Linked DNA regions of Drosophila melanogaster. The protein of the gene in region 2 interacts with the protein of the main gene of each other region in a pairwise test. Each region holds a gene or a part of one and is shown on either strand. Other genes may lie near its edges. The genes, in order: Lsd-2 and klar.

Evidence for each region.
Region 1: the proteins of klar (region 2) and Lsd-2 interact in a two-hybrid assay, tested with the Drosophila melanogaster proteins (one study listed by BioGRID).

What each region holds. Positions count from the first base shown.
Region 1 is NC_004354.4:15,074,408-15,078,329, forward strand, and holds the start of Lsd-2 (lipid storage droplet-2), read right to left. Parts: upstream 1,814-3,922; 5' UTR 1,534-1,813; coding exon 1,341-1,533; intron 1-1,340. UniProt on the Drosophila melanogaster protein: Essential for embryogenesis. Required for normal deposition of neutral lipids in the oocyte.
Region 2 is NT_037436.4:538,760-542,681, forward strand, and holds the start of klar (klarsicht), read right to left. Parts: upstream 1,856-3,922; 5' UTR 1,140-1,855; intron 1-1,139. Other genes in the region: BORCS6 (BLOC-1 related complex subunit 6), read left to right, coding at 2,282-2,669, 2,726-3,200, 3,258-3,303; Cypl (Cyclophilin-like), read right to left, coding at 3,471-3,918.

The DNA.
Region 1 (3,922 bases), on a different chromosome or scaffold from region 2:
AATACGGATTGGAAATTATATGTCTTAGTATAAGTTTAATTTAAAAGTTAACAGCCTGTTTAATTTAGAGATCTAGAACTTCTAGAATTTCTAGAATTGTGTAGTAATACCCCACACATGTGACACAAGTACGAAGAGCGCGCTTATCAGTTGCAACCGTAATAATAATAACAATAACAATAATAATAGTAATAATAAATATGTAGCATTTCTGGCTGATAAGCAACTGCGCAGTTCACGAACCCCAGGGCCCCTTGGACCCCTACATTCTATCTGTCTGGGGCCCGCCAGTTTAGACTTTGATAGTTCGTCACTCGTCAAACACATCATCCATTCCAATTCCAGTCCCAGCAACTGCAGCAACAACAACTGCGAAATATCACAAACAAGTCGAAAGTCCAACTAGAATTTTTGTTGTCGTTGCTGCTGACGGTGAGACCCCAAGAGCCCCTTAGCATAAGTGCTGCCCGCTTTAGTTAGTTTCCAGCCAAATCTAGCTTTATTCGACAGCGGTAATTGGTATTGTCTAGTAAATGCATTAAGTATTTGTTTTTTCAGGGATCTGTGCTTTTACGATCGGCAAACTTAGGCTGGGATCAATATTGAGAAGAAAACTAGTAACATTATTTTAGCTATAATTAAAGTGCAAGTTTAGCTTAACTTTTGGTCAGATCGAGCAGCACTGCCAGTGCCAGTGGCGTTGCCATTGGGTCTGCTTTGCTTTTCCTCTTGTCAAAACGAGCCCCCTTTTGTTGACGGCGCCTCTGCGGCTGCAGCCTACGTGCGGTGGCCTTTTTGCCGTCAGCCACCGCTCTCTCTCTCCTCACTCTATCTCTCTTGCGCTCTCTATTGCGTTGGCCAAGATTGTTTTATTATTATGTAAATTTTAAGCGAACTTTGAACGCAACGCGTCACGAGGGCAAAGTGCCGGCCTTTTTGCTTTTCTTATTGCTAGGTCATGGTTGTTGTTGCTGTGATTTCGATTATTGAACGACCGGCAATCAATTTATATCAATTGAGCTTAATTTCTGGCCAATTAAACGAAAAAAAAGTTGAACAAAAAAAAGTTGTTTCTGCCCTCTATGTGCGTTTCGAGTTCGAATTGCAACTCGAAATAAAATGGCGAAGCAAAGTCAAAAAAGCAACGGTTTCGGTTTCGATTACGGCTTCGAGTGCATATGGTCGCTGCAATTGTTGTTGCTATTTACCTCCTCCTTCACCGGTCGTTTATTCTCTATATGTGCCGTTAGGCGCGCCAAAGTAACGGGACTTGAGCGAGTTCAATGCACCCGGAGGAGGTCTTATTTTCATTTTCTTCTGTTTTCCTTTGCTGCACTTACCTTTTACTTTGCCATAGACATCCTGGGACTTGTCCCATGCCGCATTTACCACGGGCAATTTGATGATCCTCTCGAGGGACTCAAGGTGCGGCAGAAGGTCCTTGGCATCCTTGGGCTGGTCCACATCGTTCATCGCCGTTCCATTGCCAGTTGTTCCGTTCCCGGTGGCGTGTTTCTGCTCTGCACTGGCCATGATCAGTTTTCTTTGGTTCCTCTTGCGCTGCTTTCTGCTGCCCTTTTCACTTTTTCTTTCTGTCTTTCGCTATCAAGCTCTTCCGCTTGCCACCGCACTTTTCTTTTCGCCTCTTGCTTCTTTTCTTTCACGAACAAAAAAACAGCTTAACCTGCGAGTGAGTGTGTGAATGTAGGGTATGCGTGTGTCTGCGTTCTGGAAGCACTCTGTTTTATTTTATTCCTAGCACTTTTTGGCACGTCTGCTCACGTCTGCTCGTTGGGACTCTCTGACTGATTTGCGAGCTGCGCGGCTGGTTTATTATATGAGCGAGTGCCGCCGCCAGTGTTGCCAGCGCCGAGCAACAAAAAGCTATGAGCAACAGTGATGCCGCAGGTGGCAAGAAGTGGATGAGGAAATTTTAGTCAAATAGCTAAAAAGTACAGTTTTTACCAATAGAGCTTACTTTTTGTTCAAACCGCAGTGTGTTTTTTCCAAGATTTATGCCTAGTCAAGGGTCATGTGGCTATAATACACTTTGTATTATTAAAATTTAACCATGAGCTTTGACAAGCACGATTACTACAAAATATAATTATAATATTAAAATCTTCGAACTTGTGTACTTAACCATACACAAATTTGTTTATCAAAAATGTTGAGTAATAAATAATAATAATGTAATAAAATATCGCAGACAGTGAAAAAACAGTGCTAAACAAATAAAAAGGTTAAAATAACCAAATAATATAAATGAGCTTAGGAACATTTCTTTGCAACATATATCTTGAAAATAGCTAGATCGTTTGCTGCTGTAAGATAGCTTCGCTGCGAAGAGAGCAGAGCGCCAAAGCAGTATCAGCGAGAGTTTGAGATTAGGACTCTCTTTGAGGACCCCATATACAGTTTGTCAAGAAACTGTTTACATACTGTGAAATAAGTTGAATTTTTGACTTTAAAGCTAAAATTAAAGGTTTTTTGCTTAATTAAACGCAATTTTTTTTATAAAATTTAATTAAACAATATTTATTTTACTTATAAATCAAAAAACAAATATTAAAATATTAAATATACAAGAAAATAAACAACATAATCCAAGTTTACACACCTTTGAGACTGTCAAGAAACTCTTTACACATTTTGTTTTCCTACTTTGTTTTGTTCTTTTTCTTAGAACGAACTCGATTTTTCCGTTATTTTTGGCTTTGCATTGCTTTTTACAACGCTTCTAATGAAATTTGTTTGACTTTGCTTGAAGCGAATTATTATTTTATATTTAATTAAATTATATTTAATTTATTTTTTGATTTATAAGTAAAATAAATACTGTTTAATTTTATTTTATACAAAAATTGCGTTTAATTAAGCAAAAAACACTTAATTTTTAGCTTTAAAGTCAAAAATTCAACTTATTTCACAGTGTGTAAACAGTTTCTTGACAAACTGTAATTATAATATGAATAAATGTACTATAGTTTTTGAACAGTACACTTAAATTGTTATGATGAATTATTATAGTACAAACGCTTTGTTTGAAATAAGTACAATTGTGTACTATATCTGTTTTAAATGAAACTTAAAATAGTTTTGAAACAATTTTCATTATCTTTATTTTCGAGGTAAAACATAATTAGAAAATCAGGTGAAAGAATGTACCATTATCAAATTATAAACAATTCTTCTATCATGATCAAACTAATTTTGATCATTTTTTCCCGATCTATGCAGAGTTCATAGTGCAATTCTTCTGTGTTGTCCTTGGAGGGGGGTCCAATTATTCTGTTCAGAAAACAAGAGAGCTGAAGAGAAAGAAAGAAATTTGGGAAAAGAAGAGAGACAGTGCCTACGTTTGTTCGGCATGCTTGACAACTAGATTAATTAATACGTTGTGTCGGGCGCAAACAAAGTTTAGATTGAAGTACATTGCAATATATATTTATGTACATATATGTGCATACGTACATATGTATTTCTGTGTATGGGGGCACTTCGATTATCAATGGCCAATGGGCAACGCCACGCAAAAGCTTCGTGCGACCTTTGAACCCCTGCCACCGCATCGATAATACGCCATTGCACAGTCAAACATCTACATTCAGTATTCTACGTAATACTTGCCGAATGCTGTGTAATTCGCTTGGCAATCCAAAGTCCGATTAGTGACAAAACGAAAACAAATTACGAAAACTACAAGCGCGAAACGTGCTAAGTTAACCCCTAAAACGAAGCACCATCCTCCTTTTTTTTTAAACCATCCATCAGCACGTTTTTAGTCCCTAAAATCTACAATAAGTTCATAAAGGAATAATTTCCTTGAGTTAGATGAAGAGTTAATGAAAACTTTGGAAAATAACCTTATTCGCTTGGATTTCAATTAGATCCCAAAAAACCCAAGGGATCAAAATATTCT
Region 2 (3,922 bases):
CAAGGCATCGCCTTAACCCCGCCCCGAGGAAAATGGGGAAACCCACGAGAGGGGAGGGTGGGAAATCTAGGAAGAGGGCACCAGTAAAATGTTGCAGTAAACGATTTTCCATTTCCCGCTGGGTCAGCGGGTCATCGAGTGGGCGAGCGGGAAAACGCGAGATGAATGCAATATGGAAATCAATAAATAAAAACAGCATTTTCATTTAAGTGCTCGACGAGGAAATGGTTGTGGGAAAAGGCCAGAGAAAACCCCGTTCAAGTGTCGCCCATGAAAATGGAAAATCTTTCTTCGATGCGATGTAAATAAACAGTAAGAGTGCGACAACATTTGTTTATAGAAATGGAATGGAATTTAAAGTGCGAAATAGGGAAATACTTAACAAAACAAGGATCCAGAAATTGAGTTCTTTTATTTTCGACCAACTTGCTTGTTTTTCCTATTGGATTTAGACGTTTAAAAATACATTTTTTTACAGAATATAAAAGTTAGAAGCTAATTATCGAGTAATTCCTTTCTCCTGATTCATCACATGCTTTTCTTGTCCACATATCAATCCACTTTTCCATATTATCGATGCCAAAATAAACGATTGATTGATTGATTGAAAAATCAACCCACGCATTTTAATAAAAACAACAACAATTCAAATGTGCAGTTACACACACATAACTAAAAGGGAAGAGAGTGGAAAGCCGAAAGAGAAGAAGAGCGAGAGAGAGCAAATATTATCGCAGTTATTACGAAATCGCAATCGAAACATAACGGTAGATATAGATAGGAAAAGCACCAATACAATAAAGCGAATATAACCGCTAGAGGAAGAGGGGAAGAAGTGGGTGGGTGAAAAAGAAAGATCGCTGTCTCTTTCTCGCTCTCATACTTGCTGACTGCACAATTTGCAGTTAAAAGAAAGAAGCAGAACGGCCTGAGAAGAAAGACAAAGCATAAGAGTAACTGGCCAAGAAGAAGAAAAGAACAAGAAGTCAAGAACAAAATAGAAGAGAGCACACACACACACACATTCGTACGTACCCGTAGAAAACAGAGAAGGCAAAAAAGTCTTTCCTTTTTTTTACACTTTTATCCATTTTCAGTTGCATTTTATAAGATTCTTTAGTACAAACAATTTAACTTACTTGCTTTTTTTAGCAGCCACGCATGCGTCGAATGGGAATTTATGCTCCTTGAGACTCCAATTGGAATTTGTACCCCGGCTGCAAACAGTTTTTTTTTCTCTCTTGCTTTATTTCCACACTGCACACATACACATATGCAGCGGCACATACACACAAGTGCACGCACTGCAGTCGATTTTGTTTTTTTTGCATAAAACTTTATTTCATGTATGCCACTTGTACATTGTTTGTCACCAATTTGCGTATTTTGTACATCAAATTTTATTTTACTTTTCGTTGCCTTCCTTATTATTTTCCTAATCTTCACATGCACTTTTTTAGCGACGCCAACACACACATTTGCACACGCACACACATGGCGAGGATGAGAGAGGAGAAAGAGAGCAAAACACCGTTTTCGTTGCTTCCTTTTCGCTTATTCCTCTTTAGCCGCTTCTTTTCGATTCTGGCTCTTTTTGGCACTTTTAGCCCCAAGTTGCTAGCAATTCACTTAGCGTACGAGCACTAACAATTAAAACGAATAAGACTCGAAAAATACGATGGAAACGCGAACATATAAACAAAAATCTACATTGGTTTTATTGCAGCGCTACGCAGGTGTGTTTTTACGCGCTCATCGCGCAATTAAATTAGAACGCTGCAGATTTACTTAGTTCACTCCAGTCTGCCCAATGCGCGCCGCACACCTCGGAGCCGCAAATTATAAACACGACTGTCTTCGATTTAACGGGCTGGCCTATCGGTCCTATCGATGACTCGATAGTGCGAGCTGGAGTGTGACCATTTCTTGGTAAAAGCAAAATCGTGAAGAGTAAGTGTGCGATACTATCGAACTGTCATATACTCAACCAAATAACATCTGAAATCTGTTTCTCACTAAAACCGAAATTTCCATCAGGGTTAGGAAAATATAGTTTACGCACATCAAGTTGCATAGGTCAATCCTACGTAAAAAAGGCTCGATATAGGTAAGGTGGACCTCAGCCTGAACAGGGCCTAATGCAAATACATTCGATAAATAGATGTTATCGATAACCATTTGGTATATACCAGTAAATGCTTTGTTTTGGTTTTCATTCAGAAAATTGACATACATTTCTTAGTCTGCCTAAAGTTCCTTGGATTGAAAAGAGCAGTGCAGAATGTCGCACCGCCACCAGGACATTCCCATCCGCCCACGTTACGGTTATGTGGCCGAGGAGAGTGGCCCATCGGAAGGGGCAGCCAGGAGTTCTGGATCCGGAGCCACGCCCGCCTCCTCCTACACGGAAATTCCGTTCCTGGCTCAGTATCCGGGAGCGGTGCCAGAGCACGTGCTCCAGGATCTGACGCCCACAGCCACTGGCCATGCTGCGATTCCCGGAAGCACAAAGACAAGACCCAACGGCGAGAAATACCTTAACCTGGATTCGGGCGAGGATCCCGACGAGGAAGACGATCCCTTGGAGGAGGAGGACAACAGCAACTCGAATAGCAACTCTAAGGGCAGTTCCGGCGACATCGAAAGGCACAGACTGAAGGCAGAGAGCAGTGGGTTCTAGGTTATCTACCCATAGTTCCTGACTAAAGCATCTTCCTTCTTTCAGCTGTGCCCTACGAGCTGGACGGCGAAACCAGTGACTCCGACGGGATGCGCCACTTTGTGGCCCACGATCTAGAGGCCAAGTTGCGCGAGCGCGTGGCGGCTTCGGCCTACTCCTCGGAGCACACCACGCCCCTGAGCTCCATGGGTCCCATTGGAGCCACTTCCGGCAACGGTCTGCTCACGCGGCGGTTCCTGCAGTCGCGCAACATTCCCGAAGTGGACGGCAGCGTCTTGAGCGACATCGAACTGGAGGCTCAGTACTTGGCCAGCTCGGTGGACAATCTGATGGAAAACCTGGGCAACCTGCTGCACTCAATCTCCTCCATAACGGCCGACAACGTGGAGGTCCATCGCAACGCGGTCAACAAGCTGACGGACACTTTGGACGCGAATATCAAGTGCCAGTACCAATTGCTGGCCAAGGCGGAGGAAATCACCAAGTCGATGAAACCCACAGAGCAGCTGGGTCAGCGCATGTAAGTGGGTCAATTCAAGACAGATCCCTTTAGTGTAATGGACTTTCTCTTCCGCAGAAGGCAGATCAAGCGGCTGGTGGACATGTTGGACAGCACCATGTAAAATAGGGCTACGCTATCCTGTGATCAACCAATCAAAGAGATCTTGTCTTTCTAGTCATTCCGTAAATACATATAATCAGTGTTATAAAATCCATATGGAAAGATACCTTTCGCTTGTTTAAATCGTACTTATTCTAGCAGTTCCTCCAAAAAATCCACCTCCTTGGCTCACAGCTTCTCCACCTTGGCCTTGATGATCCTTAGGGGATCCACGGGGCGATCGTTCTTGTCGGTTTCCACCATGCCGATCCGCTTGACCACCTCCATGCCCGTGTAGACCCTGCCGAAGATCGTGTGCTTGCCATCCAGCCACTGCGTGGGCGCCAGCGTGATGAAGAACTGGGACCCGTTGGTGTCCGGTCCAGAGTTGGCCATCGAGAGGATGCCCGCGCCCGTGTGCCTCAAGTCGCCGTGCAGCTCGTCCGCGAACTCCGATCCGTAGATGGAGGCGCCTCCGCGGCCAGTGCCCGTGGGATCGCCGCCCTGGATCATGAAGTCCCTGATGATCCGGTGGAACACCACGTTGTTGTAGTAGCCCCTTCTCGAGAGTTCGGCAAAGTTGCGGCAGGTGTTGGGCGCGTGTTTCCAGTACAGCTCCACGGTGATTTCTCCCATGCTGC